Linked DNA regions of Caenorhabditis elegans. The protein of the gene in region 1 purifies or fractionates together with the protein of each later gene. This does not show direct contact. Each region holds a gene or a part of one and is shown on either strand. Other genes may lie near its edges.

Region 1 (11,439 bases):
GGAATCTTCAAAAAACTTTAAAAAAATTAGAAAAGAAAATTCTAGATCTACATTATATCAAGCTGTCTAATTCTCTTCGAATTATACAAACAGACGAGAAAAATGAGCAATAGCACGTTTAATCATCAAAAGAAGGTTCTAATCGACACCACAGTTCAGATTAGGGCTCCACTATCATGTAAGACAATTTCAGATTCTCATCTCACAGATTCATGGCAACATGGGCGTTTTGGGTAGTTATTTCTTATTTTCTAGACCCGTCGACTGATACAAGAGGTTTGTTTTATAATATTTCAGTAGTTTTTTTGTAACTTCACATGGTGCCAGGCTGTCCTTTTCTGGTTTGATCTACAAAAAGTGCGGGAATTTTTGCTCAAAACAATGTGCCGTCCGCACGTTCTTAACCATGCAAAATCAGTTGAGAACTCTGCCACATTTTTTGTAGATCAACGTAGATCATGCCGAAATGAGACACTCTGACACCACATGTAACTTCCGAATTTATTTTTTTTGACTTCCAGCAATCTCCACATTCATAAATTCCTTATTTGTGGCGGCACCCATTCCTGGAACTGTTGCCATGATTATTCAAAACGCCAGCTATCGAAATTTCATCGCGGAGAAGGTTTTTCGGCGGAAATCATCTGACGTGTCGCCAAGCCGATATGTTCTACCGTGGAAGACAGATTGTAAAACTCGAATTTAAATCGAGTTATTGAATGAATTTTGGATTGAATATTAATAAATGATTTTTGTAAGCGTGTAATATAATTCTATTATGGGAACACAAAATTCTGATAATGCGTACTGAGCAACATATTTGACGCGCAAAATATCTCGTAGCGTCTTTGTAGTCTGCAAAGTTTTGGATATTGACTTGGAGTTAGTAAGGGGATATGGTCGAGGTACTGTAGTAGTTCTGTAGAGTTACCGTAGGGGTACTGTAGGAGTACGGTAGAATTATTGTAGTTTAAGAAAAAGTGAGTTTTTGTCTTTTGAAGGGACATTGACTTGGAGTGAGTTGGAGGATATGGTCGGGGTGCTGTAGTAGTACTGTAGGATTACTGTACTTTAAGAAAAAATGAGTTTTTGTCTTTTGGCGTATCTTGAAACTTCTAGAACTTTCTACAAAAATCTGGAATTTTCTAGAACTCTCTAGAAAATTCCGGGAAGTTCTACCCTTTTCTAGAAAAATAAGGAATCTTCTAGAATTTCTAAAAAGTCTAGAAACCTCTAGAACTTTCCAGAAAAGTCTGGAAACGTCTAAAATTTGTAGAAAAGTTTTGAAACTTTTAGAAATCTTTAGAATCGTGGCGATACCCATTAATTTTTTGGCGGGAAATTCGAATTTTTTGAGAAAACGCTCCTCAAATGGAGCTCACAGCACTGCCAGAGGTCACGTAGGATCACTGTAATAATAATTGGTAGTCATACTCCTAGGGGAATACTGAAAGCGGTACAACGGCAGCGACATACGGAGCAGGGCTGGGAATTTTTTGGTTTTTTTGGTATTTAATCGATTTTTTGGTTTTTTTTTGGTTTTTCAAAAACTTCAATTTTTTGTTTTTTGTTTTTTGGTCCAAATTTTTTTTTTGGTCCCAGCCCTGATGTAGATCACAAAATATTATCTCATATTTCGTATTTCTGTTGCTTTTTTACAAATTAATTGTGATCTACGCGTGATCTCCGCGAATTTTGAACAGACTTTGTTAAAAATGATGACTAAATGCGCGGCAAGACCCTTCCGCATAAATGCGCCCCCCCCCCTTTAAAGTCGTAGAAGTGGAAAAACAAATGCACTGTACGCATTATCTGAATTATGTGATCCCGTGATAAAATTGATTTTTTGGCCTTTTTAAATACATTTCTAGAAAATAGTTTTCCAGTAGAGTTTGTGGAATAGAAAAATAAAATAAAAAATCGATGAAAGTTTTATTGACTTTTTCCAAATTTTATCCCAAAAATATGTTTTCTGTTTTTTTTTGTTGTTGAAAAATTAATAAATCCAAAAACAAAAATACAAAAAAAAGAAACAATTAAAATCGTTGAAGCCGAATTCCTTGAGCAGGCTTCGACACGAACAACGACGGCAACTCGGCAACCACCCGATCCACGTCATCAGCGGCCATCAACACGACGGCACATCCTCCCCAACCGGCTCCGGTAAGCCGTGCTCCGAGAGCTCCATGGTCCAAATAGAGCCGACAAATCTCGTCAAGCTCCCGACAACTGCACTCGTAGTCAATGGCACAACTGCGATGACTCTCGTTCATTAGACGTCCCATTTCTTGAATGTTTTTCTGGGCGCACGCCGATTCGAATTGTTCCACACGATAGGCCTCACTGAACACGTGACGAGCGCGGGGGCGGAGTTTGAATTTTTGGACTGAAAAAAAATTATATTTTGGGTCTTGTTTCGATTTTTCACATCCTAATGTTCTTTTGTTTAATTTCTGAAAAAAATTCGAAAAATGCTTTTTTTTTCAGATTAAAAAAACATTAAAAAAATATATAAAAATTTAACAATTTTCTCACGGGGTTCTGGCCATCCTTATTTAACTTTTCGCGCTCTATTGACAATCGCCTGCCGGACAACGCCTGTGAAAGTCGTCAACTAAAATCGAGCCGTGACGCGACACGCAACGCACCGTAAATCTACCCCAGATACGACCGAGCCAAAATGGCCTAGTTTGGCAAAAACTCTTCCATTTCAATTTATGAGGGAAGCCAGAAATCCATTTTAAAAAATTCGAAACAATTTTTTCGGAGTTTCGGAGTTCGAATATTTTTTTTAATATGAATTTTTTCTGAATTTTACGGAATTCAAATAATAAAAGAAATTTTTTTTTTTTAAATTTTTCAAATAACTCAAAAAAATGGTTTTTTTTTGTTTTTTTGGAAACCAAAAAATTCGAAAAAGAAACATTTCTGAATTTTTTAAATCTTTTTTTGAAAAAATCTGATTAAAAGAAAATTTCGGAAATCAAAAAATTTGAAAACAAAATTAGAATTGTTAAAATATCAGTGGCCGATGTCTCGCTTTTTCTAGGCCACGCTCTATTTTTTTTTGAAAATTCTCAAATTTCTGTACACGGATTTCTAGCTTCCCTCATAAATTGAAATGGAAGAGTTTCTGCCGAACTAGGCCATTTTTGATCGACCATATCTGGGGTAGATTTACGGCGCGTTGCGTGTCGCGTCGCGGCTCGGTTTTAGTTGTAAAACTAATTGTGATTGTCCGTGTGGAGTACACGACTTTCCCACGCGTTGTCCGGCAGGAGATTGTCAATGGAGCGCGAAAAATCTCTATTTTTTTCTGCTAAAACACTGTGCTTACATGATCTTGTATTCTCTGTAAGACATTCTTCCAATTTATCGGCACCAATTAGATCAATAACTTGCTCTTTATTGACTTCATCCGGTAGCTCCTCGACAATTTTCAAAATTTCCTTGAACGATTTTCCGCTTAAGGTTTGAATTTCTTTGAGGCGAAATGAGCCACTTGTGATATTGAATTTTTGTTTGAAAATCTGAAAAAATTTGTTTTTTTTTTCAGATCAGAAACAATTTGAAAACCGGTTTTTCCAAAAAAAAAATTGGTGGCCGAGTTTTTCAACATGGGCGTTTTGGGTAGTTATTTCTTATTTTCTAGACCCGTCGACTGATACAAGAGGTTTGTTTTATAATATTTCAGTAGTTTTTTTGTAACTTCACATGGTGCCAGGCTGTCCCTTTCTGGTTTGATCTACAAAAAATGCGGGAATTTTTTGTCCAAAAAATGAAACGTCAGCACGTTCTTAACCATGCGAAATCAGTTTAGAACTCTGCCGCATTTCTTGTAGATCAACGTAGATCAAGCCGAAATGAGACTGAGACACAAATGAGACGAAATGAGACCACGTCGACGTTGAGAAAAGTTTCCGATTTTTAGAAAATTCGGAAAAAAAAAGTTTTTTGCAACGAAAAAAATTTTTGAACTAAAAAAATCCTAAATTTATCGATTTTTCGCTTAATTTTTCTGATTTTTATTGATTTTTTGCATGACCGCCGTACTTGTGCAACAATCCGTCCTTCAATAACCCTTTCGTTATAATGTGACGTGGCACCCTTATTCAGTTCAGTATTCGAATGAACCACGACGAAAACCGCATCACTCGGAAGTTGAATGTTTTTTGAGCGAAGCGGATTAAAATCGATACGAAGAGCCGTTCCTTCGGATGCGAGAACTTCGGCGGCTTGATCCATTCCACCGCTTAGTGTTCCGATTAGTGGCTCACTTTCGATACATAAATGAGCAAAGTCTTTTCTGGAAAAAAAATATTTTTATGGAAAAAGGGCCCACGATGTTATTGAAATTATTTTCACGCGATTCTTATAATATGGCGCCAGGCCGTTCGGTTTGATCTGCAAAAAATGCGGGAATTTTATGCCTAAAAAATGTGACGTCAGCACGTTCTTAATCATGCGAAATCAGTTGAGAACTCTGCGTCTCTTCTCCCGCATTTTTTGTAGATCTACGTAGATCAAATCGAAATGAAGCACTGACACCACGTGCCTCATAAATTGAAATGGAAGAGTTTTTGCCGAACTAGGCTATTTTAGCTCGGCCATATTTGGTGGTAGATTTACGGCGCGTTGCCGCGTCGCGGCTCGATTTTAGTTGTAAAACTAAATGTATTTGTCCGTGTGGAGTACACGACTTTCCCAGTCCGGCGGGCGATTGTCAATGGAGCGCAAAAATGCAATGAGGAATGTCAGAACCCCGTGAAAAAAATTTTCAATTTTTTGATTTATTTTGCGTTCCGAAATCTACATGGAAGAAAAATTCAAACTTCGAGTTTCAATGCAAAATATTATGTTTTTTGCGTACTTTGCGTACATTGCGCAACATATTTGACGCGCAAAATATCTCGTAGCGAAAACTACAGTAACCCTTTGAAGGACTACTGTAGTGTTCGTGTCGATTTACGGGCTGGATTTTTAAAAGCATTTAGAATATTAAAATTGAGCAAAAAATGAGAAAATAATACGAAGAAACGACGGAAAATTGAAAATCACTGTCGATTTTCGTAAAGAAGTTCTAAAACATTTCGAAAATCGAGAGCTCCGTAAATCAACCTTTAGTAGTCATTTAAAGGGTTACTGTAGTTTTCGCTTCGAGATATTTTTCGCGTCAAATATGTTGCTTAATACGCATTCTCAGAATTTTGGATTCCCGTAATATCACGTCCCGGCAAGTGGTACATCCATACAAATGCGCTCTACTGATAATTTGAGTTAAGCCAGGTTTGGGCGCGTTTTAAGGAAAAAAGCTTTGGTCCAAAAAATTTAGAATTTTTTTTCGAACATTTTTCATGTGCACAAAAAAAACAAAAAACAAAAAAACTGGATCATCCGATTTTGAGGAAAACGCGCCCAAACGTCCAGGTATACGGTAGACACACGGGGTTCTGGCCATTGAATTTTTCGCGCTCCATTGACAATCGCCTGCCGGACAACGCGTGGAAAAGTGTCGTGTACTCCACACGGACAAATAAATCAGTTCTACAAATAAAAACGTGCCGCGACGCGACACGCAACGCGCCTTAAATCTACACAAAATCTCTCCGACCCAAAATGGCCTAGTTTGGCAAACTCTGCCATTTCGAAAAGTGAGTTTTTTTTTGGTCCCAAAATTCTGAAAAATTTTGTCAAAATTCAAAAAAAAAAACTCTACAAACCTAGAAATATGCTCAAAAGGATCATTATCCACAATCAACGACAACGTGGCCAGCGCCGACGCACAAACCAACGAAGAACTGGACGAAAGACCAGAAGATGGAGGAATAGTTCCGTATAATAAGAAGCTCATTCCGAATTGTTCTTGTCCATCTTCTCTATTCATAATTCCCCTCCATCCACACAGCAAATAATCGAACCATTTTGGTGAAGTACATCCTTTCCATGGGCATGGAATTGGTGAGCTCCATGATTCGTATTTTGAGTCGAAATTCGAAAAAACTATCGAATTCGTGTCGTTTTTTGCGGCCAGAATTGTGGTCGCCGCGTCGATGGCCATTGGGAAGACACCATAGTCATGGTAATCGATATGCTCGCCTGGAAATGTTACGGTAGCTGCACATGGTGTCAAAACTCTCATTTCTGCTTGATCTACGTTGATCTACAAAAAATGCGGGAGAAGAGAAGCAAAGTTCTCAACTGATTTCGCATAGTGAAGAACGTGCTGACGTCACCTGTTTTTGGGAAAAAAATTCCCGCTTTTTTTTGTAGATCAAACCGTAATGGGACAGCCTGGCACCACGTGTAGCTGATAAAATTTCATTCGTGCCAAGACCTAAGGCAGCAGTTTTGCAACTAAACTTTCATTTTTCAAAATAAAAAAGTGTCATTTTTCTCTCAATTGTTTCAAGTTCCTATGATTTTTGCAAGTCTGTGGTCAGTTAACCATGACGATCTATGTAGGCTCGTGTACTCCCCGAGGAGAAGATTTAATTTTTTGTATTACATGAACACAAAATTCTGAGAATGCGTATTGCACAACATATTTGACGCGCAAAATATCTCGCAACGAAAACTACTCTTTAAATGACTACTGTAGCGCTCTTGTGTCGATTTACGGGCTCAGGTGAATATAAATAATTTATTTATCGATAGAGTACTGAAAATCGGTTAAAAATGACCAATGAGCCGCTAAATCGACACAAACGCTACAGTAGTAATTTAAAGACTTACTGTAGTTTTCGCTACGAGATATTTTGCGCGTCAAATATGTTGTGCAATATGCATTCTCAGAATTTTGTGTTCCCGTAATAGTCAAAATTTCAAATTTCAAATTATCTTTTATTTTATAAAATACAATTTTAGGTGTTTGAGGAGAAAATCTATAATTTCAACGTGTCCCTGATACCTGAACCCTGATAGGAAAAAAACCCGGGACTTTTAACACTTTTTGGGTCCTGGCACGATTGAAACTTCAAAATTTTGAGCTACCGTAACCGCGGAAATATTTCGAAATGCTTTTTATTATTTTTAATACATTTTTTATACAGTAAAGCAAAATTTCCAGAGAAACATATATTTCTGCGAAAGTTTCGATCGTGGCAAGACCAATAACAACGTACCAATCAAATTAACACGGCCCGGACACGTGACACGAACTTCTGGCTCAATACCATACAATTTGACGAATTGCTCGGCGAGCTGCTCATTTGAGACCATTTTTAACGAATTTCTGAAACTATATAATAGGAAATTGGAAGTTGTAGAAAAGACAATAGGGGCACCACCACCTATAACAAACAAAATAATATTTATATGACTGTCTGCGTCTCTAACATGTTGACCATACTCTGTGTTGCCCGCCGCCACGTGTTGCGTGCATGGTGTACTGGGAATCTGATAGATAAGGGATTCGATGATGTTCAGTACGGTCTGCGCCTTTGAGGATTACTGTAGTTCACACATTTTCTTATTTTCGAGAAAAATCTATTCAAATAAATACCAAAATTTTTGGACAAACCAAATTTAAAATATCAAAACCCATGTTTTTTTTAAACAAGTGAGCAACGAAAATTTTCGAATTACAGTAATCTTTAAAGGCGCACATATATTTTCGCATTTAATGAAAATGTGTCGCTTCGAGACCGGCTTCAGCATTTTTTGAAGCAGAATTTCTCATCTCGGTAATATGCCTCTTTCTTGACGTTTTCCTAAATTTTTGTCGACAAATTCGACAAATCGGCAATTTGCCGATTTGCCGGAAATTTTCATTTTTGGCAAATTGCCGTTTGCCGGATATCAGATTTGCCGGAAATGTTTAGAGGAATTTTTACAAGACGGAAACACTTAAAACTGTGTCATTTTGAATTTTTTCCCGTTTTTTAAAGGATATTTTCATAAAATTTGCTTAATTTTCAAAATAGATGTAGGAAAATTCATAGGATGCGTTTAATTTTGCCATTTGAAATTAAAATTCCAAAATTTCCAAAAAATAATAAAAACAAAATCACAATTTGCCGAAAATTTTCGGAAAATTGTTGTTTTTCCGGCTACTTGCGGGTTTGCCGGAAACTTAAAATTCCGGCAATTTGCCGATTTGCCGGAAAAAAATCGTTTACCGCCCACCCCTGAACTACAGTACTCCTTAAAGGCGCACACTGGTTTGCAAAAAGATAATCTAGACTGGGTCCCGTCACGGCTCAGAGTTTTTTCCAGAATTTTCAAAGCGAAATTACAAGTTTGTGTTAGTAGCTTCCATCGCGACGAGACCCAGAATATTCCACAATAGGTCTCACCACGAAGCAAAATAGTTATTAATTGCCGGCGTGGCGAGACCCACAGAAACACGTGTTGTCAGGCTGTCCCATTACGGTTTGATCTACAAAAAATGCGGGAATTTTTTGCCAAAACACTCTGCAAAGAACTCTGCGTCTCAACTCCCGCATTTTTGTAGATCTACGTAGATCAAACCGAAATGAGAAAAAGCTTTATTCAAAGTTTTTTGTTTTGATTTTAATTGCAAAAAAGAAAAGAAATTCTTCAACAATAAAATGATTCATTGGCGACTGTCTCTGTGTTGGTTATTAGAAAAAAATAAATCGTTCGATTGGTGGTTTGGATGGCGGAGCAGGGAAAAATAGTTAGACGGGGTCGGTTATTGCCATTCCCAGATTGGCTCGAGCACAACTGGTCCAGAGCTGCCGCTGCTTCGCTTTCCGAACTGGAGAGGCCGATAGTCGCGTTTTCCGAACTGCAATGGACGGTACCCATCTCGCTTGCCGAACTGCAATTTATGTGTGTATAATATTTTTAACTTTTTTTAAAATGTCTTGTTCCCTACCTGAAGTGGCCGGTAATCGCGATCCTGACGGTCAAACGTCGGCGACTGTGTTGCAAAAACTGTAAAAAAAACGGAAGTAATTTTTAGAAAAAAAATTGGCCTAAAAATTGGCCTAAAAATAGTATTAAAACGACGAACCCTCCACGAATACGAGGATGAGCATGAGCAGGGCGCAGCTGTGGTGGCGGAGCATTTTGTCGGAGGCAATTGAAATAAGTTTCGCCGAGTCGAGGTGTCGGGCTTTTATACCACCCCCCCCCCCATCAGTAAACTACAGATTCGTCATATTTCCCAACGGAGCCGGGGGGACCACGCCTTTCCCCCCTACCATTTTGGTTAGCTTCTGGAGTTGATGGGCTCGTAAAAACTGAGAGAGAGATTCATAGCGTTTATCCAAATGAAGTGATGAAAATGGGGTGAAAGGATTTAAAGAAAAAGAGTGATGGGGGAGGGAGAGGGGTAAAAATAGCGATTTCAACAGTCAAAGAAAAAAATAGAAATTTAAAAAATAATTTAAATAGTATCCTCCGGATTCGTCTCGGCCACGAGCTTCAACTGCTCGGCGTTCTCGATCAAGAAGTAGGCGAAGACGGCGATGAAGACGAAGAGAATTGTGAATGTGATCTGGAAAATAGAAAATAAGTTTTTATTGCCAGAAAAAGGGCGAAAAACTCACCGTGCTTCCCAAGAATCCTCCTTTGTTGCTCTGAGCTTGACGAGCCGATGCCCGATCGGCGGCCATTTCCTCTTCCGTCAAGTATCGCATCGACTCCTCGCAATCGTCGCTGTCCGATTCGGGAGAGGTAGTAGCTGCCGCTGTTGCAGCTGACACGTTCTGGAAAACTCGTTGTGGCGGTGATTTCTTCGGTGACGAGCTGATGATCAATGAATCCTCGTTGAATTGAGAGTCGTTGAGATTTGATTGATCTGGAAATTAGAGGTTCGAAAACTTTAAAAATGTTATTTAGAAATTAATAAATAATTTAAATTCAAATCCTCACTGTTAATGCTTCCGTCTGATAACTTGATAAGCTTCTTCTCGTAGAGCTTGCGGGTCGTCGCCACAATTGGCCCAACAGAAACCCCGTGGCTTTTAAGGCTATCGCGTAGTTCGGCATCTGTCAGCTGGGAGACGTCCATTTTTTGTGAGATGGTCTGGAAAAAGCAAAAAATGACAATTTTCAAGCAAAAATTGAGGAAAACGAGCGATTTTCTACCTAAAATCTTGAGAAAATCGTTTATTTATTGAACATTTTACCAAAAAAATTAAAAATGCCCATTTTTTGTGAGATGGTCTGGAAAAGGCAAAAAAATGACAATTTTCGAGCAAAAATTGAGGAAGGGCGATTTTCTACTTAAAAAATGGTTTATTCATTGATTTTTCACCGAAAAAATGAAAAATTCTACAAAAAACTGATTAAAAACAGGAGAAAATGAAAAATTATGAAAAAATAATTTCAAACCCAAGTCAAATTGGCTGAGAGACAACGCGACGGCGAGAGACGCAGAGTGGACGGGTCTCGTCACGATATCGCTTTGTGTCGATTTACGGAGGAATTTCCAGCCCGCAGATTTAAATCAATGATTTTCGCGCGCGCTTTTTTTCCTGAATCATGATTCGAATCATACATAAATAAAATACGGAAAACGAGGTTTTTTTAATAAAGTTTCAACCATTTCTTTTTGTCCACAAAACATTTACATAAAATTAGATCAATGTTAATAGAAATAAATATGAAATTAAAAACTATCGCAAAAAGTCGATACAATAATGGGGAAGAAGAAGGGGGGATGGTGTGTGGATGGGGGATGGTTTTTTTTTCGGTTGAGAAGAAGAAGAAGGAAAAATGACAAAAAAAAATCGATGAAAAATGGAAAAAAATAGGGTGGGGGGGAGGATTTCGAGGTTAGCTTGATGGGAAAAAAATATGAAAAACGGGATTTTTAGGGTAAGGGTGAAGTTTGGGGAGGGGAGTGGAGAAAGCATTCGATAATTTTCGAAAAAAATATGGTGAAAACTCAAAAAAAACGTTATAATATTTGAATTATGTGGATGTGGGTGGGAGAAATTGAAGTTGAGGAGGAAAAAAAAACTATGTCCAACACGAAAAATGTGTTTTTTTTGTGGTTAGAATTGTTAGAAAGGTAAAAAAAATAAAAATTTGAATCAAGACAAAAAAAAACGAAAGAAGCGGCGGTTTGTTGTGGGGATTTTTGTGAGAAAAAAAAAGACAAAAAAAAAAATTTTTTTTGTGAATGACAGAGAGACTAGGTGGTGTTTTTGCATGCCGGAAACTAGGTTGATGGGTAGGGAAGGATGTGAAAACCGACTTTTTGTGATGATAAATGAGTATAGACAGGACAGAAAGAGAGAGAGAGAGAGAGAGAGAGAAGTTTTGTTTCTTTTTGCATTAGCTATATCAGAAAGCACATCCAAAAAAAGAAGAAAAAAGTGCTTATATGGAAAGAATATTCGGGAGGAGCATTTGTTTTAGGGAGGAAAATGAGAAAATAAGAAAATAAGGAAGAGATGGAGAGAGAGACAGACAGAGAGAGAAAGTTTTTTGCAAAAAAAAAACAAAAATTAGAAGGAGTACAAG
Region 2 (6,884 bases), on another chromosome or scaffold:
TTATCACATAAAAGTCACTAAACTCTTTATAATTTTGGTTCAAACCGTGAAAATGATCATTTTTGGCATAACAACGTTAGACCAGTTGAAAATGATTTTCCAGCCGTTTATTTACATGAAAAGTCGTCGAATTTTTCGTGCTCAAAGCTCAAAGTTTTCTGTTAAAAATTATTTAGTAATTATTAACTTCGAGCTTACTAGAAATTTGACCCATTGTTTAGATTCAGATGAGTCAGTTTTACAGATTTGTAATTTGATAATGTTATTACTATAGCCATTTAGCATCTTGCACTTTTAATTAAATATCAATCTAAGGTATCAATCTTGAGCCTTGATCATTATCACCATTATCAAATTGAACCGTTTTAGCTTGCCGCCAACTGCCATTCTCAATGAAGTCCTTTTGAAAGTCAACAAACTCAGAGTCTTGCTCTCTTTGCTTTCTCACTATTTCTTTTGATTGGGCTCTTTTCTCTTGACCTCGAGTTTACTCAGTAACTTTGTGGTTGGCATGGATGGAATAAAAGAAAAACATACAATCGTGGAGTTTTTTCGCAGTTTTTTTCGGAATGCAACTGATGATGACAGTATTGGGTTAGACACACCCATTGAAATAAGGTATAAAAATGATCAAACGAAAAATCTTCACCATTTCTGCTCACTTCAATCGAACGAAATGAACACGTAAGTTTTCTAGCAAACGATTTATGTTATCATTAGGTAGGATGTGCATCATTCATTCGTAAATTTTCAGCCTCCTTGCTCTTTGCTCACTTCTTGCTGTGGCTTCTGCCCAATACTTGTATTATCCAACAAGTTATTACACACCATACTATTACTATTATCCAACCGCTGCAGTTGCTGGTACCACTGGAGTTGCTCAGCAAACTCAGGCTGGTGGAGCTTCCCAACAAGCTTATGCTCAACAGCAACCACAACAAAACCAACAGTATGCTCAAGGAACCCAACAACAACAACAACAGTATTATCCACAACAAACGCAACAGGGTCAGCAACAACAAACTCTTCAATACCAACAAGGAGTTCAACAGCAACCAGTACAGTATGATCAATCAGGAAATACCCAACAGGTTCAATATGATCAATCATCCCAAATGCAGCAACAACCACAACAACAACAGCAATACACGCCTCAATATGATCAATCTGGAAATACTCAAAATCATCAGCAAGGAACTCAACAGACTGGAGCTGTGGCTGCTCAGCCACCTTACTACTATTATACATCTCCATACTATTATTATGCTTATGGAAGAAAATAGAAGAGTATTACGGAACTTGCCCAGCCCATCGTTGTTTCATATTATGATTTCATTCCTCACACTGCCTTTATGCGAACGAAAATAATTGAAAAAAAAAACAATAAATGATTCGAAATTTATGCGAAATGTTGTGTAAGAAAATATTTTTGAAAAAGCAGATTAATACCTGAAAATATTTCCAATTAAAGCAGTGGAATTGTCTTCGTGCCTACCTCGTGCCTGCCTACATCTCAACTGCTGGCTTATTTGTTTACCACATGCCAGACCAATCAGTTTGCACGAAATATTATTTTTGAACTATTAATAAGATACATTTGTTATATCTGTACAGCCTGACACTTTTTTAGAGCGATTATTTGGAGAGTATTCAACACCATCATATTTTGATACCTGAGTTTCAGCCAGCTTAACAGTTTTTTCATTAAAACCGAACACAAATTCAACGGCCCACTAGTTACTCATAACCTAAACATTGGCAGGTGTTCTCTTACATAATCTGTTATAAACAAATGGATCGTCTCAATTTCCAATCAGGTATCAATGACATAAACAAATTATTCACCCTCCACCGTGCAACTCCATTAATTTCATTTCATTTTCGCAACAAATGATACCTAACTTACAGTTATTTCTTTCATTAATACTATTCGGCTTATTAAATCATGTATCTTCAATTGACTATGAAGAAATACACATCGAAGATTCATATGAAACAAGGTAACGAATCCTTTAATTTTTTTTCAAAATTACGTCCGAAAACATTTCAGATCACGTATTCTAATGGTTGATGGAAATGTGTGGTTGCATGCCGGAAAGGATAAAAATATAACGTTCAAAACGACTGGAAATGGAAGAATATATGTGGACGAAACAGATGTTTCCAAACTTCCAGATATTGTAGGTAGACTGCTGAAATTATCCAAAAAAAAAATGAACGAGCTTCTACAAAACATTTATTTTTGATACGTTGCTTTGCTTAACACACAGATTTCTTATTTAGTAGAGGCTTATGCCGATGGTTTCTTGGCAGCTTCCACTTCAATAAATTTGATGAGATCAGCTCGTTCGTCAGCTTTCTTCAAACCAGCGAAGACCATCTGAAAATTTCTTATTAATACTCCATCGCACTTCCTAGAAAATCCTACCTTAGTTCCGGGGATGTACTTTTTCGGATCAGCCAAATAGTCGAAAAGTGTTTGTCTGTCCCATACAACTCCTTTATTCTTGTTGGCAGCCGAGTAGTCAAATCCAGCAACTTGTCCGGATTGTCTTCCAATCACTCCGTTCAATGTTGGTCCAGTCTTTGTTTGCAATGAGTTGACAACGTGACATTGCTCGCAACGTTGTTTGAAGATCTGAAAATCAATAGGTTTTCTGGGAACACTATAATGAAAAATTTAACTAACCTTCTTTCCTTTCTCATTGTCTCCTTCTGGAATAGCTCCACCGGATGCCGTATCAGACTTCTTCTTGCCCATGTTTCAAGAACTGATTAAAACATAGACGGTCAGATTAGAAAAAGGAACGAAACGTGGATTACGAGTAAGAGTTGGAATTAGATAGTCGGAGATCACGCAAAAATTTACTTTTTGACAACTATTTAAAAAGAATCACTTTCCTGAGAAACGGTCACGTAAATTTTGATAATTAAGTTCTATTATTTTTATAAAACTTTTCAAAATGAATAATTGTTTGAAAATGTTTGAACTATGGAAGTTTTTGAAAATTAACTCGAATTACAATTTTCAATATTCAAAATAATTTTCAGGCATCTTTCAAGCAACTTGTTGGACGTATTGAGAACACTTCTCAAATGTTCACCACTTTGAAAAGTCGCCAGGACACGCAGACTTCTGCAATGAGAGTGGTTTTAAATTCTGCAAAACATTATCTAGTAGCGGTAATTCCATACATTTTTTTCTCTTTTTGAAATCAATTTTTAGCTTCGAAATATGACACTCGAAGTGAATATCTTGAAGAAGTGGAAAACTGATAAAATGGCCAGAGACATGAGGAGACGGGGATTATTGGTGAAAATGACACGTCAAATCATGTAAGACACAACAAGTTAGGTTTGACTATTTTTTATAAATTGTTAACTTTCAAGAGGAATCAACAAATTGATAGCAATAAACGCGTGCGATCCGAACAAATGTAGTAATGGAGGCACATGTATCCCATCTTTTGGCGCCAAATTCACTTGTCTTTGTCCTCCACATTTCACCGGTACAACTTGTGAAGCTGACATCGATGAATGCTCAGTATACAATGGTACAACTGCTGGATGTCAGAACAATGGAACATGTATCAATAACCGTGGCGGATTTGAATGTCAGTGCCAATCCGGATATCATGGATCTCTTTGTCAGTATCATATGTCCGCTTGCTCGAAAACTTTTGAATTGTGTGGTCCACATGGGCATTGTATTGAGAGTATTGTGGATCCAACTGGTCAGTCATCTTCCGATACAACTACGTACAAGTGTATTTGTGATTGGGGTTTCAAGGTTTCAAGTGATAAGAACAATCCAACGTGTGTTGATGTCAATGAATGCGAATCAAATCCATGTCATCCAGGAGTTGATTGTATTAATTTGCCTGGATCGTTTGTGTGTTCCGGATGTCCAAAAGGATATAAAAGTAAGTTAGAATTATATATGTTCAATCAAATCAAAAATAAAATAATTTTTTTGGTTTAATTCTTGTCTAGAAAATATATACTCGTATCCAAAACGTTTTCATAAAATAGGTAAGTAGGCATTTAAATAGGTCAATAGGTGTGTGGTAGGCATGAGGTAGACACGTACGCCTGAACAAGTGCCTACCCTGTATAACACTTACAAATTTCAAGCTTTTTTTGTGAAAATACTTGTTTGGATTTCTCAGTTCCGAGAATGAGGAGAGAAAGTCTTATAAACTTCGGCTTAACAATGTGAAAAATCAGAATTTGTTAGTTTGAAGGTGTCGAAAAATGTACTGAATATCTGTCATTGAAATCCAAAAAGTAAAATAAATTCAGCCGATGGAAATGTTTGTATTGATGTCAACGAATGTGAAGGTGAAATTCGTGTATGCTCTCCGCTTTCAAAATGTCATAACACTCTTGGCAGTTATTATTGTGATTCGTGTCCGACTGGATACTCCGGCGATGGAGGAAATTGTGTGAAAGATGATAGTTGTGTCAAAAACAAATGCCATAAATTAGCAACATGCAAGGTAACTGACGACGGATACAGTGCTGTTGGAGACTACACTTGCTACTGTCCAGATGGATATGTTGGTGACGGAATTGGAGAGGAAGGATGTGTTAAGTCAGCAAGTAACGTTTGCCAGAACCACAATTGTGTTAATGCTGGGAAATGCAAGGTAACACAAATGAAGACAAGTAAGCACTGTTACTCAAAAAATAGTTTTCAGCCAACAAGCGACACCGAATATAAATGTGAATGTGAAGCTGGTTTTCTTGGAAAGTTCTGTGAGAAAACATCACCGTGCCAAACGAATCCTTGCAAAAATGGAGGAACTTGTATTGCCGTTGAAAATTCTGCTTATTGCGACTGTCCAGAGCACTTCTTTGGTAGGGCATGCGAAGAAGAGGAAGAACGTAAGAAAATTCATTAATAAAATTTTTATTGCTTGTTTTCTGTACAAGGAGCGGCCCAGCTTTAGCCTTGGGCAAACTTAGTATAGACTTTTGAACATATTTTGGATCTAACTGCTGGTAGGTTTCACAGGCAGAGTTGTTAAAAAAGTGGACTCACCATGCCACGCTCTTCAGTCAAGATTCTACAGTATCAGAAGTTAGATCCAAAGCCTGTACCAAAGTCTTACCGATACCGCCACTGCCTGCTCAAAACTTGACTGGTTTCTCTGCTCCTTACAAATAAGAGTAACAGTTAGCCACCGAAGGTTGTTCTGGGACTGCGCAGTCACTGTCAAGTAGACATCAGCAGAGACTGAAACCTCAAAAACAAAACTCATTTTGTAGACTGTGGCTCTCACTTCACTCATTCGAGCGGAAATTATACATTCGACCTACAACGATCGAATAAAACGGAACTGTCCATATGTGATTTCGTCTTCAATATTCCTGCTGCAAACTCTGCAGTTGTAATGACTTTCACAGAATTTGATAAATTTACGCAAGAAGGATCAGGACCTACAGATTGTGCCAAAACTGATGCGAATTTGACATTATACGATGGACCAGAAGACAGTTCTTCTGAGTTTGCAACATTCTGTGGAGATTCACACAGTGTTCACGCACCGCTGAGTGACACTCCAATCACAATGACTTCAACAGGAGCAATGCTGAGATTTAGAGGAACCCAAGGTTCTTTTACTATCAAATGGGAAACCGTTGAAAGAAGTTAGTGGAATTTTTATATAATTCAATTGGAAGTATATTATTTGCAGAATGCGGGTACCGTAGCTCAAAACCAGAAGGAATAATCTCCGTCCCACAAAACCACCAAGACATTGTCTGTGAATGGTTTATTTCGGCTCCCGGTGGGAAAATAATCGAAGTCACTATTCCTCCAGTTTCAATGCATTCAAAAGACATTGAAAAATGCGATCAAAACTCTTTGGAAATATACGATGGTTATGCTACATATGATAAACATCGTATTCTTGAAACATGTTCATCTACTCTTGAATCCCAAGTCGTTAGAACTACTGGACCATTCCTCACAGTTGCATTCATCAGTAATATGCTACAAAGTGATGCGGGTCTTGAAACGATCCGTGGATTTGTTTTAAAATACAAATTCACCACACCAGATAGGGAATGTGGAGCAGAAATCGATAACGATTCAAATGATTTCTCATTTTCTGGTGTCATTGAATCACCCAACTACGGTAGTTTGTATCCGCCAAACATGGATTGCACATGGAAAATTAATGGAACACTTAGCAATGGATCATATAGTGGAGATATGGTATTGAAACTGACGTTTGATGAATATGATGTCAAGTCTGGATTTAGTGCCAATGGGCCGGGAATGCATTGTGAGTTTATTTATATATTATTTCCTGAAAAGTCGCTCAGTTTCAGATCGTTCATTCCGCAGACTTCTGCCGAGAAATGAAGTGGAGTATGGAATAGCTCCTGGGTTTTCACGAGTTTTCGCTTACCGAAATCTTTTTGATATGGGAACTTGCACTAATGATTTCTTGAAAATTCACGACGGAGATGGAACATTGGTTCAAGAGACTTGTAATCCCAGAAGACCTCCAAATGTTTTGACAGTCAATAATCCAGCTGCAGTTCTTACATTCCACTCAGATTCAGCTGAACAAGGAAAAGGGTTTAGAATTCAATATGAAATGTGTAAGTTCTTTTTTGGTTTCATTGGAACTTTTAAGAGGTTTATTTCAGTATGTGAGAAACGAGTGAACGGAAATGGAACAATTCAAACTTGGAATTTCCCGAATGGAGGTGCAGCTGGAACTTGCACCTACATAATTGAGGCCCCAAAAACTCATGTTATTAGTGTTAGATTCTTGACAATTGGGCTAAGAGTACTTCCAATGTCTGAGTGCTTTTATACTCCCAACGCTGTGGAAACTTATGAAAATTATGTAGAGGTAGAATTTATA
Region 3 (11,697 bases), 8.8 Mb from region 1:
TAAAATTTCAAATGAAACGTTTCTTTTCAGAAATTTCATGTAAATAAATAGAGAAAAATGTACCGTAGTTGTTTCAAACTTAAAGGCGCAGGAACAAAAATTGAGCGGTGGGTCTCGCACCGAAAGTGTGAACTACGGTGTATCGTTCGCGCGGCCAACTCATTTTTGGTTTCACCTCAACCGTTATCGGATTTTTATTTGTTTTTCTGAACGTTCTATATTTTTCCTGTATTTTCAGCAAGATGCTTAATGTCGTAAAGTCGATAAACCGTGCGAAAACACCTGTTCGCACTTATATGAAGTGAGATAATTTATTTTCTAACGCCATTTCACTAATTTTATCAATTTTCAAAGAAAACAAGTGAGCGCAACCACCAATTTTGATGTCGTTGATCACACTTTTGACGCGGTTGTTGTGGGAGCAGGAGGAGCCGGTTTGAGAGCTGCGATGGGACTCTCCGAAGGTGGAATGAAAACTGCCGTCATTACGAAGCTTTTCCCCACAAGATCGCACACAGTCGCGGCTCAAGGAGGTGAGCCGCTCAAAGTATACGAACAGAATTTAAATTTTGATTTTTAGGTGTGAACGCCGCTTTGGGAAATATGAATCCAGATAACTGGCGCTGGCACTTCTACGACACTGTAAAAGGGTCCGATTGGCTTGGAGATCAAGACGCGATTCACTATATGACTCGAGAAGCCGAAAGAGCTATTATTGAACTTGAAAATTACGGTCAATAAGATTCTCTAACATTAAAAAACAACAATTTTCTTGCAGGAATGCCTTTCTCGCGTACAACAGACGGAAAAATTTATCAACGGGCTTTTGGAGGTCAATCTAATGATTTCGGTCGTGGAGGACAGGCTCACCGTACTTGCTGTGTGGCCGATAGAACTGGACACTCACTTCTTCATACCCTCTACGGTGCATCTCTTCAATACGACTGTAATTATTTTGTCGAGTATTTCGCTTTGGATTTGATTATGGATAAGGGAAAATGCATTGGCGTCGTTGCACTGGACATTGAAACTGGACAGATTCATCGTTTCCGCGCAAAGAACACTGTCCTCGCCACCGGAGGCTATGGAAGAGCTTACTTCTCGTGTACATCTGCTCACACTTGTACTGGTGATGGAACCGCTCTTACCGCTCGTGCAGGTATTCGTAATTCTGATATGGAGTTTGTTCAATTCCATCCAACTGGAATCTACGGAGTTGGATGTTTGATCACCGAAGGATCACGAGGAGAGGGTGGATATTTGGTCAATTCGCAAGGAGAACGATTTATGGAAAGATATGCACCGAATGCCAAGGATTTAGCGTCAAGAGATGTTGTTTCAAGAGCCATGACTATGGAAATTAATGAAGGAAGAGGAGTCGGACCAAACAAAGATCATATTTACCTTCAATTGCATCATCTTCCAGCTGAACAGCTTCAACAACGATTGCCAGGTACGTGATATTAGTGTTTTCAATTGTTAATAATTTTCTTTCAGGAATCTCGGAAACCGCTCAAATCTTTGCTGGTGTGGATGTAACCAAAGAGCCGATTCCAGTCATTCCAACTGTTCACTACAACATGGGAGGAGTTCCTACGAATTACAAGGGACAAGTTCTCGATTTCACACCTGAAGGAGGAGATAAAGTGATTCCAGGACTCTATGCCGCTGGTGAATGTGCAGCACATTCAGTTCATGGAGCAAATCGTCTCGGAGCAAATTCCCTTCTAGATTTGGTTATCTTTGGAAGATCTTGCGCTCTCACGTTAGTTTCATTTATCTGAACAGGTTTAAACTAAAGATTTCAGTATCCTTAATGAGAACAAACCAGGAGATTCAATCCCGGAGCTTCCGGTAAATTGTGAAGAGAAATCGTGTGACAATTTGAACGGACTTTTGCACTCAAAAGGAGATATTTCATCTATCGAATTAAGACAAAAGATGCAAATGACAATGCAGAAACATGCTGCTGTTTTCAGACGGGGCGATCTTTTGAAGGTAAGTAAATACAGATTTATTCTATTTTCAAAAAATATTGGATATTTTCAGGAAGGAGTCGATAAAATGTCCTCCATCTACAAAGAGCAACAAAATTTGAAGGCGTGTGCCGACTCTGGAAAAGTATGGAATTCGGAGCTTGTCGAAACTCTCGAGCTTCAGAATTTGCTTATCAACGCCAATCAAACCATCGTCGCCGCCGAAAATCGCACTGAATCTCGTGGAGCCCACGCTCGTGATGATTTCCAAGAAAGAATTGACGAATATGACTACAGCAATCCACTTGAGGGACAGCAGAAAAAACCGTTTGATCAGCACTGGCGCAAGCATTCCATCATCGGTATCGATACGAAAACTGGAGCTGTTGATTTGACATACCGCCCAGTTATCGACAAAACTCTCGATAAATCTGAAACCGACTGGGTTCCACCAAAGGTCCGATCGTATTAATTCGTTGTTTTGTTCTTCTTTGTTCACATAATTGTGTTCGAGCTGTATGTTTTTTTCTTTTGTGTGAAATTTATTTGTTTCCTGATTAGAATAAAGTTTATTGAATTTAATAATATATCAATTTAAGCTTATTTAAGATTTATTTCTGGTTTTCAATCCACAAATATTTGCAAATGTTCTTCAAAATATGAAATGTGCAAGTGCGCTCCATGGAAAATCTCTATTTTACGTCATTGTATGAAGGAGTGTTGGAACAAAATTATTCCGAATTCGTTTTGCTTTAATCTTTTTGTATTTTTATAACTGAATTTGATTTTTAATTATTACATAATTAACCATGGACGGAATGATTGCAATGCTCCCTGCTCCACTGCAGAAACTATCGTCGCATATTGATTTTCAAGGACAGAAAGTCGCCGAGAGAACTTACCAGGTAACAAACCACAATTGATTGACTGAAATTACATAAAATAAAGCAATAAAATTTAGGTAATCCTCACTATTGCTGGAATTATTGGCTTCCTCGTTGGATTCTGGACTCAACAGCTTTCATATGCCATGTTCACAGTGCTGGGAGCATCTGCGTTCACAGCTCTCATCATTCTTCCACCATGGCCATTCCTCTTCAGAAAGAACCCGATTGTGGTGAGAAAAAGTTACAGAAATCGTATAAAATGTTTTAATTTTCAGTGGCACACACCTGCGGAACCACAAGAATCTGGAGACAAGAAAAAGGAGACAAAGAAGACGAAATAAATCGGCAATGATGCAAAAACTAAAGAAAAACGTTTTACTCGGGATCTGGTCAAATATTTATTTTAAATTAAATTATTTATGAGCTCTTCTTCATTTTTCTGTGTGATATAAGAATCATCTTCTGAACCATAATAAATTCATTTTCAATCTACAACGATTTTAATATTTTATTGACGTTTTAATGCGACACATTTTACTTTTTTATTCTGAAGTCTTGAATCCTCCTATCCTACTCCCCGTTCAACAGAAATGTACCGCGCTGGAGCGGTTTTACTCCGCGGGGCAACTCGCACGCGGCTTCTTGCCGCTGCTTCAGCACATCAAAGCTTTGCCACATTTTCTCAAAGAAATCAATCGATTTTAATGATGAAATCTATGGAATTAGCAGGAAATTCAGGAGAAAGGAGGTTTTATTCCACTCATGACGATCCAATCGCTGTGGATGACTCATTGGAACTGTACAAAGATTTGGTAAGTTTTTTAGAATTTCAGTCATTAAAAGACGATTTTAATTGATTTTCAGGGAGGAATGTCACCGATTCAAGTGCCAGCCGATATGCCAAATGTCCCAATGTTAGCTATCAATCGATATCCACTATTTCCAGGATTTATCAAGAAAGTTGATGTGAGATTAGATAACGTATTTGGCGGAAAACTGAAAATTAAAATTTCAGATCGTGAAAGATGACAATTTAAAAGCACTGATCAGGCGACAGCTTTCACTGAAACAGCCGTATGCTGGAGTTTTTGTGAAGAGAGACGATGAGTATGTAGTTTTTGAATGGATCTCTTCTTGACTTAAAAATGGAACAATCGCCGAAAAACTAGTCATGTGTTGATATACGGAGCTCGTGTACTCCCCGAGGAAATGCTTTTACAGTTTTTGCCTGATATTTTTGATTTGGAACCATTTTTGTTATTGGAATCATCAAATAACAGAAAAAAATCAATCTTCTATATACCGACTATAACTTCTAAAAAATTTATACACTTTTTCAAAATTGTTTTGTATTTTTTTCAATTTTGCAACAAAAAATGGATTAAAATTGCTGAATTATTTTTGAATTCCCGCGCAAATTAGTATATTTTTTTCCAGAAACAAAGAAGAAACGATCACATCTCTATCAGAAGTCTACCCAACTGGTTCTTTCGTTCAAATTATCGAAGTCCGTGATCAGGGAAGTGTTCTTGAGCTGGTACTCAGTGCTCATCGAAGAATTCGTGCTCTTGAACCAATTGACGAAATTACACCGAAAAATGAGACTCCATTGAATGGAAGACGTGCTCGTGGAAAGCGTGCAGCATCAGCAACATCACCACTCACTCCACCACCATCACCACCTCCACTTGCACCTTCAGTGGCTTCAGTGGCTCCAGAAATTTCAGCAACAGAAGAGAAAGAAGAGAAGACAACACCACCATCAGCAACTGGAGAAAAACAGAAAAAAGGAATTATTATGGTTCGAACCGAGAATGTTGTTGCAGAGCCAGTGCCCAAGAATAATGAAACGAAGGCTACGATGATGGCCATTGTGCAGACGATTCGGTAATATCAAGTTGCGATTATTTAGCCATTTGTACCTCAATATTACGATACCCGGTCTCGACACGACAAACTTATTGTAATCTAAAAAGGATATATCCCTTTGAAGAGTACTGTAACTTCAAATATTCGTTGCTCGGAAATTTTCATCGATTATCATAAATTCTCGTTGAAAATTATATACATAAGATTAAAAAAAAATCGCAAAGTTCGAAAATAAAATCTGTGTCATTACATTTATAAAAAACTTGTGTGTATTGTGTGAAAAGCTATGAGAAATCGACGAAAATTCCGAAAAAAACAATAGTTTGAAATTAAAGTAATCTTTAAAGGCGCACACTTTTTTGAATAACAGGAGAAATGCGACCGGGTACAATAAAATGTATATTAATCATTTTGAATCGAAAATACGGAAATAATCTGCAAAATGTTATGTATTTTACAATGGCCAAAAGTAAAATCGAAAAAAAAAACGAAAAAGATTGTAGTAAAATTATTGAAAAAAGGATAAAACTATAAATTCAACAAAAACTGTGTATATTTCGAGAAAAAAATATAGAAAATTTGCATTTTTTCCCCTGCAAATTGAAAAAAACCTTGATTCCGAAAGTTATTTTTTGATTTTATGAGTTTCCAATTTCCTAAATTCAAATATTATTTCAGAGATGTAGTACAATTCAATCAACTCTTCGGTCAACAAATCAATCTTCTACTTCATCCATCTCAAAATGTAATCGATAATCCAGTTTATCTATGTGATCTTGTTGCAACTCTTGTACAATCTGCAGAAACAAAAGATCTTCAGGAAATGATGGATGAAATTGATGTAAATTTAAATTTAAATTTTTTTAAATGAAAATAATTATATTATTTTTTTAGGTTTCAAAGCGACTCAAAATTGCTCTTCTTCTGATTCAAAAGGAGAAAGCAGTTGCCAAATTGAAGTATGATATCAATAAAGATGTTGAGAAGAAGGTTCAGGATCATCATAGGAAATACTTGCTCAATGAGCAATTGAAAGTAATCAAAAAGGAGTTGGGAATTGAAAAGGATGAGAAGACGACTATTATTGAGAAAATTGATGAAAGAATCAAAACATTGGCAGTTCCAGAATATGCATTGAAAGTTATTAACGAAGAAAAGACAAAGTTGCAGTTTTTGGATCCGCATTCCAGTGAATTTAGTGTCACGAGGTAGATATTGAAAATTATATTAGTTTTATAGAAAAATATATATATGCATTTAAAAGGCTAAAAATGCTCGGAAAAGTAAACTTTTTTCCAATTTTCCAATCGAATTTTTTTTCGAATTCTTTTTCCAAAAATCAAAATTTCTCCAAAAGCTTCCGGATTGTTTATGAAGTGTTCAGAAACCAGCTCCTGGATGTCGTGAAAAATTGAAATGTTTTTTTTTATCGAAAAGTTGACAATTCGACATTTCAATTTAAAAAAATTTCAATTTTCCGGAATATAAAAAAAAATAATAGTTCAGAAATTTTAAACTTTTTTATTAAAACCCCAAAAAATTGTTTAAAATTAAACGAAAACTCCAACTTTCTAAATTTCTATTATTCACTTTTGGTTAATCTATTTATTTTAATTTTCTTCAAAATGAGAACTACAGGATCGACGACCAGGAACTCCGCCCACTCCTTTTGATTGGTTCGCCGATTGGTCTTACAGTTCTCGTTTTGAAAGAAATTCAAAACTGAAAAATATCATTTTTAAGTGCATTTTTTCCTGAATGTCAGACTATTTTAAATGTTTTAAAGCAAAAAAAAAATTGAGTTCCGTTTTTTTTCAGAAACTACCTGGAATGGTTGACATCAGTACCCTGGGGACTTACATCACCCGAGAATCGTCGTCTTTCAGTTGCAAAGAAAGCTCTTGATGAAGGACATTATGGAATGAAAGATGTTAAAGAACGAATTATGGAGTTTATTGCAGTCAATTTACTTCGAAAATCAATTGGTGGAAAGATTCTATGCTTCCATGGACCACCTGGAGTTGGAAAAACTTCTATTGCGAAATCAATTGCGACTGCCTTGAATCGAGAGGTTCAGTTTTTTTTCCTAAACTTTCTCTTGTTAAAATTAAATCTAACATTTGCAGTATTTCCGTTTCTCAGTTGGTGGAATGACTGATGTGGCAGAAATCAAGGGACATCGTCGTACATATGTCGGTGCAATGCCTGGAAAAATGATTCAATGCATGAAGAAAGTGAAAACTGAGAATCCTCTTGTTCTTATCGATGAAGTCGACAAAATCGGCGGAGCTGGATTCCATGGAGATCCCGCATCGGCACTTTTGGAACTTCTTGATCCAGAACAAAATGCGAATTTTAATGATCATTTCTTGGATGTTCCAGTTGATTTGTCTAGGTTTGAAGATGCTTCTCCTCTTGGTTCTATAATTTTATTTCTAATTTTCAGAGTTTTGTTCATTTGCACGGCAAACGAGATTTCAAAAATCCCGGGACCACTTCGTGATCGAATGGAAATGATTGATGTTAGCGGTTATTTAGCCGAGGAAAAAGTTGAAATTGCTCATCAACATCTCATTCCTCAACTCAGAAAAGACACATCTCTCGCCACAGAACAACTGAAAATTGAAGATTCTGCGTTGGAAGAGCTCATTAAGCATTACTGTCGTGAATCTGGAGTCAGAAATTTACAGCAACATATTGAAAGAGTATGTTTTGGTAAAAACAGGACGATCCGCGAGACCCGAAGAACTCGGGGGATGTCCAATTGGGGGGATTACCAACTCGGGGGATTGGCCCCGCCCACATAACCGTGGCTTGCAATACGCCCATTTCTGCAACTGCCGCACGGTTTTAAAACTGTATTTTTCTCAATAGAGCGAGAATTAACAAGAAAAAATAATTTTTAAACCGTGCGGCAGTTGCAGAAATGGGCGTATTGCAAGCCACGGTTCTGTGGGCGGGGCCAATCCCCCGAGTTGGTAATCCCCCAATTGGACATCCCCCGAGTTCTTCGGGTCTCAGATCCGCGCCTCGAGTTGATTGTTCTGTTTCGACAATTATATTTAGATTGCTTATAGAAATTACCTTTTTTTTCCAGATTTTCCGTAAAGCAGCTCTTCAAATTGCTGAACAACAAAACGAGGATGAGGAGCCAGCCGAAAAAGCAACAACTGCTATCACTGAAAACTCAGAAGCCGAACCAATCACCTCTACATCATCTGCAGATTGTTTAAAATCTTCAGCCGAACAAATTGTAGTTTGCACAGAAAACTTGCAAAAGTTCGTTGGAAGACCCAAATTCACATCAGATCGAATGTATGAAGTAACACCGCCTGGAGTAAGCGAAAAAACTGTTTTAAAAACTTAATTCACGTTCCGTTCAGGTGATAATGGGTCTCGCATGGACAGCAATGGGTGGATCTGCACTTTATATTGAAACTGTATTGAAACGACCTGTTGATTTGACAAATGATAAGGATGGAAGTATTGAAACAACTGGAAATTTAGGAGATGTAATGAAAGAAAGTGTTCGAACAGCGTTGACTGTTGCAAAAGGAATTCTTGCAAGAGAGCAACCCGATAACAAATTCTTCGATAAAGCACATATTCATATTCATGTACCCGAAGTGAGCTTAATCTTGAAATAATTTCAACTAACCAATTCCATTTTTCTAGGGAGCAACACCAAAAGACGGACCATCTGCAGGAGTAACTCTTGTCTCAAGTCTTCTTTCACTCGCTTTAGACCGACCTGTTGTGCAGGACATGGCGATGACTGGTGAAATTTCATTAACCGGAAAAGTGCTGCCAGTTGGTGGAATTCGGGAAAAAGTGATCGCGGTGGGTCCTCTGTTCTTTTTTCGTTCAAAAATTTCATTTTTTTTCAGGCTCGCCGTGTCGGAGCAAAACGAGTCTTCCTTCCAAATGAGAATCGTCGAGACTTTGATGATTTACCAGAATTCATGAAATCAGAGTTGGATATTCGATTCGTTTCGCATTATGATGAGCTCTACGAGCATCTCTTCCAATAATACGTGTCCCTTTCTTTCACCCCCAGTTAATACCTTTCAGATAGATTTTGTTGATTCACCTAATCCATTTTTTCTTGTTTTGTTATTTTAAAAACGTTTTGAAAAGAAAAAAGTTCAGGCTATAAACATTTTCCTACTTTTATTTTTGTTTTTTTTTTAATTTTAATAATCTCAAGTTGTTTGATCTTTTCAAATATTTTTCATTTAAATTCTAAATAATATTCTCTTTATTTAAAAACCATTATTTTCAGCTTTAGAAATGGCAATTATCGAAGAAATTTTCGAGGATGAAGAGGATCAGATAACAAAAGTGGATTCATTGAAAAAAGAAGGAAATAATTTCTTTGCGAATGGAGAATTCGAAAAGGCGAATGAAAAATATCAGGTATTGGAATGTTTTGCAAACGTGCGGCGCGGTTTGAAGCTTGTCGATTTACGCAGGATTTTGTACTACACGTGGACAAGTATTAATTCAATTTTCATATAATTTTATAGTAAAGAAAACAATAATTTGAAAAACAAAAATTTTGATTTTTAAAAATATCGAAAAATTACAAACAAGAATTTTAGCTGAAAACTACACAATCATCTCAAAAAAAATCCCCACTTGTCCGAGTGTAGTACAAAATTCTTCGTAAATCTACATGCATACAACGCGCCGCAGACTTGCAAAATTAACGGCTTGATCGGTCTATTTCGACAGTATACAATTGAAATTTTTCCAGGAAGCCATTGCCTCGTGCCCTCCAACATCCACAGAAGTACAATCGATTCTTCTTTCAAATTCAGCAGCTGCACTTATCAAGTTAAGAAAATGGGAATCTGCTGTGGAAGCTGCGTCGAAATCAATTGAGGTACTGAAGAGAGCATGAAATATTACACAGACGCGAAATTTTCCCAATTTCGACCACAAAATACGGCCTTGTCACTAAAATTTGGCGTTAAAATGAATAAAAGTTTGCAGCTTTAAGTATTTCTGAAATTTCCAACAAAAATTTCGATTTTCATTTTTCCTGAAAATCAAAAAGAAAAGGGTTTTGAAAATTGACAAAAAAATCCTTTTCTTTATCAAATTTTGTTTACTTTTACGAAAAAAACATCAGGAAACACATAATTATCTTCTACAAGAGGAAAAATTGGCAAAATTTTAAGATATTTTTCAAAAAATTAAAAAAAAATCGAAATGTCGGAAAACTAATTTCTCATAAATCGAAAACCCGGCTCCTATAGTTGGAAACTACAGTAATCCTCAAAAGGCGTCCTTTTGCATTTAACAAACGGTTTTCGTGTTGAGACCCTTAGATAGCAAAATTTTGCGACTTACTATTAGCTAGTTAGCTTGAAACAAATAAAATCAATTTTCAGATTGGAGCAACCAACGAGAAAGCACTGGAACGACGGGCGTTTGCATACTCGAATATGTCAGAAAAGTATGAGAATTCTATTGAAGATTATAAACAGTTACAGGTATCGATTTTGGTAGATTTCTTTTTGAAATTAGAAGTAAACTTTTTCCAGGAATCTCTTCCAAAACGCCGCGTCGAACTTGATCGGAAAATCGCTGAAATCAATGAGAAAATTAATAATCGAAATGAGGCGATGAAAGCCGATGTGATGGAAAAACTGAAGGGTTTCGGAAATTTCTGTCTATCGCCGTTTGGGCTCTCGACAGACAGTTTTGAGATGGTCCCGAATGGAAATGGAGGATTTTCGGTTCAAATGAAAGGTGCTACGAATAAACAAGAAGGTGCAAGTCAGGAAAAGAAAGAAGAGGAAAATGCATAATTGGCCGACATTCTTTGAATTTTCTGTACATTTTCTATCTGCATTCCGGTTAATAGTCTTCTTGCTTTCAATTTCGTGATTTTAAAGATTAAAATGAACATTTCTATTTGTATTCGTGAAATTTTAATCGCTCACACTAAAATGTTCTCTGGTCTCGAAAAGATCGAAACTTTAAGGCTACCGTATCAGGGATGGAGGGGATCTACAAAAGGGTCATTCCTAAATATATGATAACTCATCTTTTGAAATGAAATTATATCGTTTACTACAATGTAACTACATATAAAATGCAGTTTCGTTCTGTTCATATGTAGTTTGATCTCTGATCTTTGAACTCTCTTTTCTCTAGTTCTGTAGATGTATTGTACTGGGAGTTTATGGAATAACGTTATAAGATATAAAAACACTTTGAATATTCAAAAAAGTCAATTTATTTCCATAGAAAGAGAGCTATTAGGTTGCCTGCTCCACACTTGGCTTCTGCGGATTCTTGAACTCGTTGATCTCAGCCTCCTCCCAATCGTACGGGAATTCCTGTAATTATGATAAATGATAACACTTTTATTGTGTGAAAGACATACATTTTTGCCACTGAAGAGAATCGCGTTGGTGAGAAGTCCGTAGATTTCTGTGTAGTTCGGAGTGTCGGTGAATGAAAGTTTGTCAACCTGAAAAAGAATGGATTGTTAGGGGAAAAGTTGCAAAGGAGTTGCCTACTATTTGCATAATGTCGACGAATTCTGGTGGAAGACCTCCGAGCATTTCACGCATTTGAAGACCATTTCGGCACAACTTTTGATAGTCATGCACTTCTTTTGGTTTCTGGAAAAGGATACATAGAGAAGGGCTTTGATATATGTCAAAAATGCATTTACACCTACTTCGCCGTGCAAAGTTATATGCAAAGGAGGATTTCCAGGCAGGCGTCAGGCAGGCAGTCATGTGCCAAAGCCTGAAACCGCCTGCCTCCCGTAAAAGCCCAAGGGTATAGTGATGCCGTTCTTTGATGCAAAGTTACTTTCAGAGACATTCTTCGATTGCATTTGGAGCCATATTCTACTCAACAAGTCTTACCTTCAAATGAGCCCACGGAAGACATCCCTTAACCAGCTCAACACTCATATAGAACCACATTTCCAAGTCTTCCAT

What was found.
Region 2: the proteins of tag-96 (region 1) and cyc-2.2 fractionate together in Caenorhabditis elegans (co-fractionation; one large-scale study listed by BioGRID). This does not show direct contact.
Region 3: the proteins of tag-96 (region 1) and lonp-1 fractionate together in Caenorhabditis elegans (co-fractionation; one large-scale study listed by BioGRID). This does not show direct contact.

What each region holds. Positions count from the first base shown.
Region 1 is NC_003279.8:1,841,000-1,852,438, reverse strand, and holds tag-96 (Galactokinase), read right to left. Parts: upstream 7,240-11,439; 5' UTR 7,219-7,239; coding exon 7,122-7,218; intron 6,097-7,121; coding exon 5,721-6,096; intron 4,307-5,720; coding exon 4,054-4,306; intron 3,531-4,053; coding exon 3,338-3,530; intron 2,387-3,337; coding exon 2,037-2,386; 3' UTR 1,916-2,036; downstream 1-1,915. Other genes in the region: M01D7.9 (7TM_GPCR_Srx domain-containing protein), read left to right, coding at 213-276, 522-706; nlp-12 (Neuropeptide-Like Protein), read right to left, coding at 8,654-8,782, 8,840-8,898, 8,978-9,032; emr-1 (Emerin homolog 1), read right to left, coding at 9,353-9,463, 9,516-9,766, 9,841-9,979.
Region 2 is NC_003283.11:12,609,457-12,616,340, forward strand, and holds cyc-2.2 (putative cytochrome c 2.2), read right to left. Parts: upstream 2,763-6,884; 5' UTR 2,762-2,762; coding exon 2,690-2,761; intron 2,639-2,689; coding exon 2,429-2,638; intron 2,381-2,428; coding exon 2,291-2,380; 3' UTR 2,226-2,290; downstream 1-2,225. Other genes in the region: ZC116.1 (Prion-like-(Q/N-rich)-domain-bearing protein), read left to right, coding at 512-684, 755-1,283; cubn-1 (Cubilin homolog), read left to right, coding at 1,891-2,000, 2,051-2,180, 3,052-3,183, 3,227-3,336, 3,391-3,923, 4,303-4,649, 4,701-4,887, 5,272-5,652 and 3 more. UniProt on the Caenorhabditis elegans protein: Electron carrier protein. The oxidized form of the cytochrome c heme group can accept an electron from the heme group of the cytochrome c1 subunit of cytochrome reductase.
Region 3 is NC_003279.8:10,674,129-10,685,825, reverse strand, and holds lonp-1 (Lon protease homolog, mitochondrial), read left to right. Parts: upstream 1-3,451; 5' UTR 3,452-3,453; coding exon 3,454-3,675; intron 3,676-3,727; coding exon 3,728-3,829; intron 3,830-3,878; coding exon 3,879-3,970; intron 3,971-4,300; coding exon 4,301-4,750; intron 4,751-5,410; coding exon 5,411-5,573; intron 5,574-5,626; coding exon 5,627-5,940; intron 5,941-6,550; coding exon 6,551-6,803; intron 6,804-6,858; coding exon 6,859-7,127; intron 7,128-7,178; coding exon 7,179-7,437; intron 7,438-7,829; coding exon 7,830-8,069; intron 8,070-8,115; coding exon 8,116-8,358; intron 8,359-8,407; coding exon 8,408-8,572; intron 8,573-8,619; coding exon 8,620-8,763; 3' UTR 8,764-8,904; downstream 8,905-11,697. Other genes in the region: sdha-2 (Succinate dehydrogenase [ubiquinone] flavoprotein subunit, mitochondrial), read left to right, coding at 243-301, 355-533, 581-733, 779-1,453, 1,498-1,765, 1,809-1,998, 2,050-2,448; spcs-1 (Signal peptidase complex subunit 1), read left to right, coding at 2,786-2,881, 2,938-3,093, 3,139-3,204; ttc-1 (TPR_REGION domain-containing protein), read left to right, coding at 9,023-9,148, 9,489-9,617, 10,129-10,230, 10,282-10,548; C34B2.3 (Protein kinase domain-containing protein), read right to left, coding at 11,002-11,082, 11,130-11,216, 11,266-11,370, 11,623-11,697. UniProt on the Caenorhabditis elegans protein: ATP-dependent serine protease that mediates the selective degradation of misfolded, unassembled or oxidatively damaged polypeptides as well as certain short-lived regulatory proteins in the mitochondrial matrix.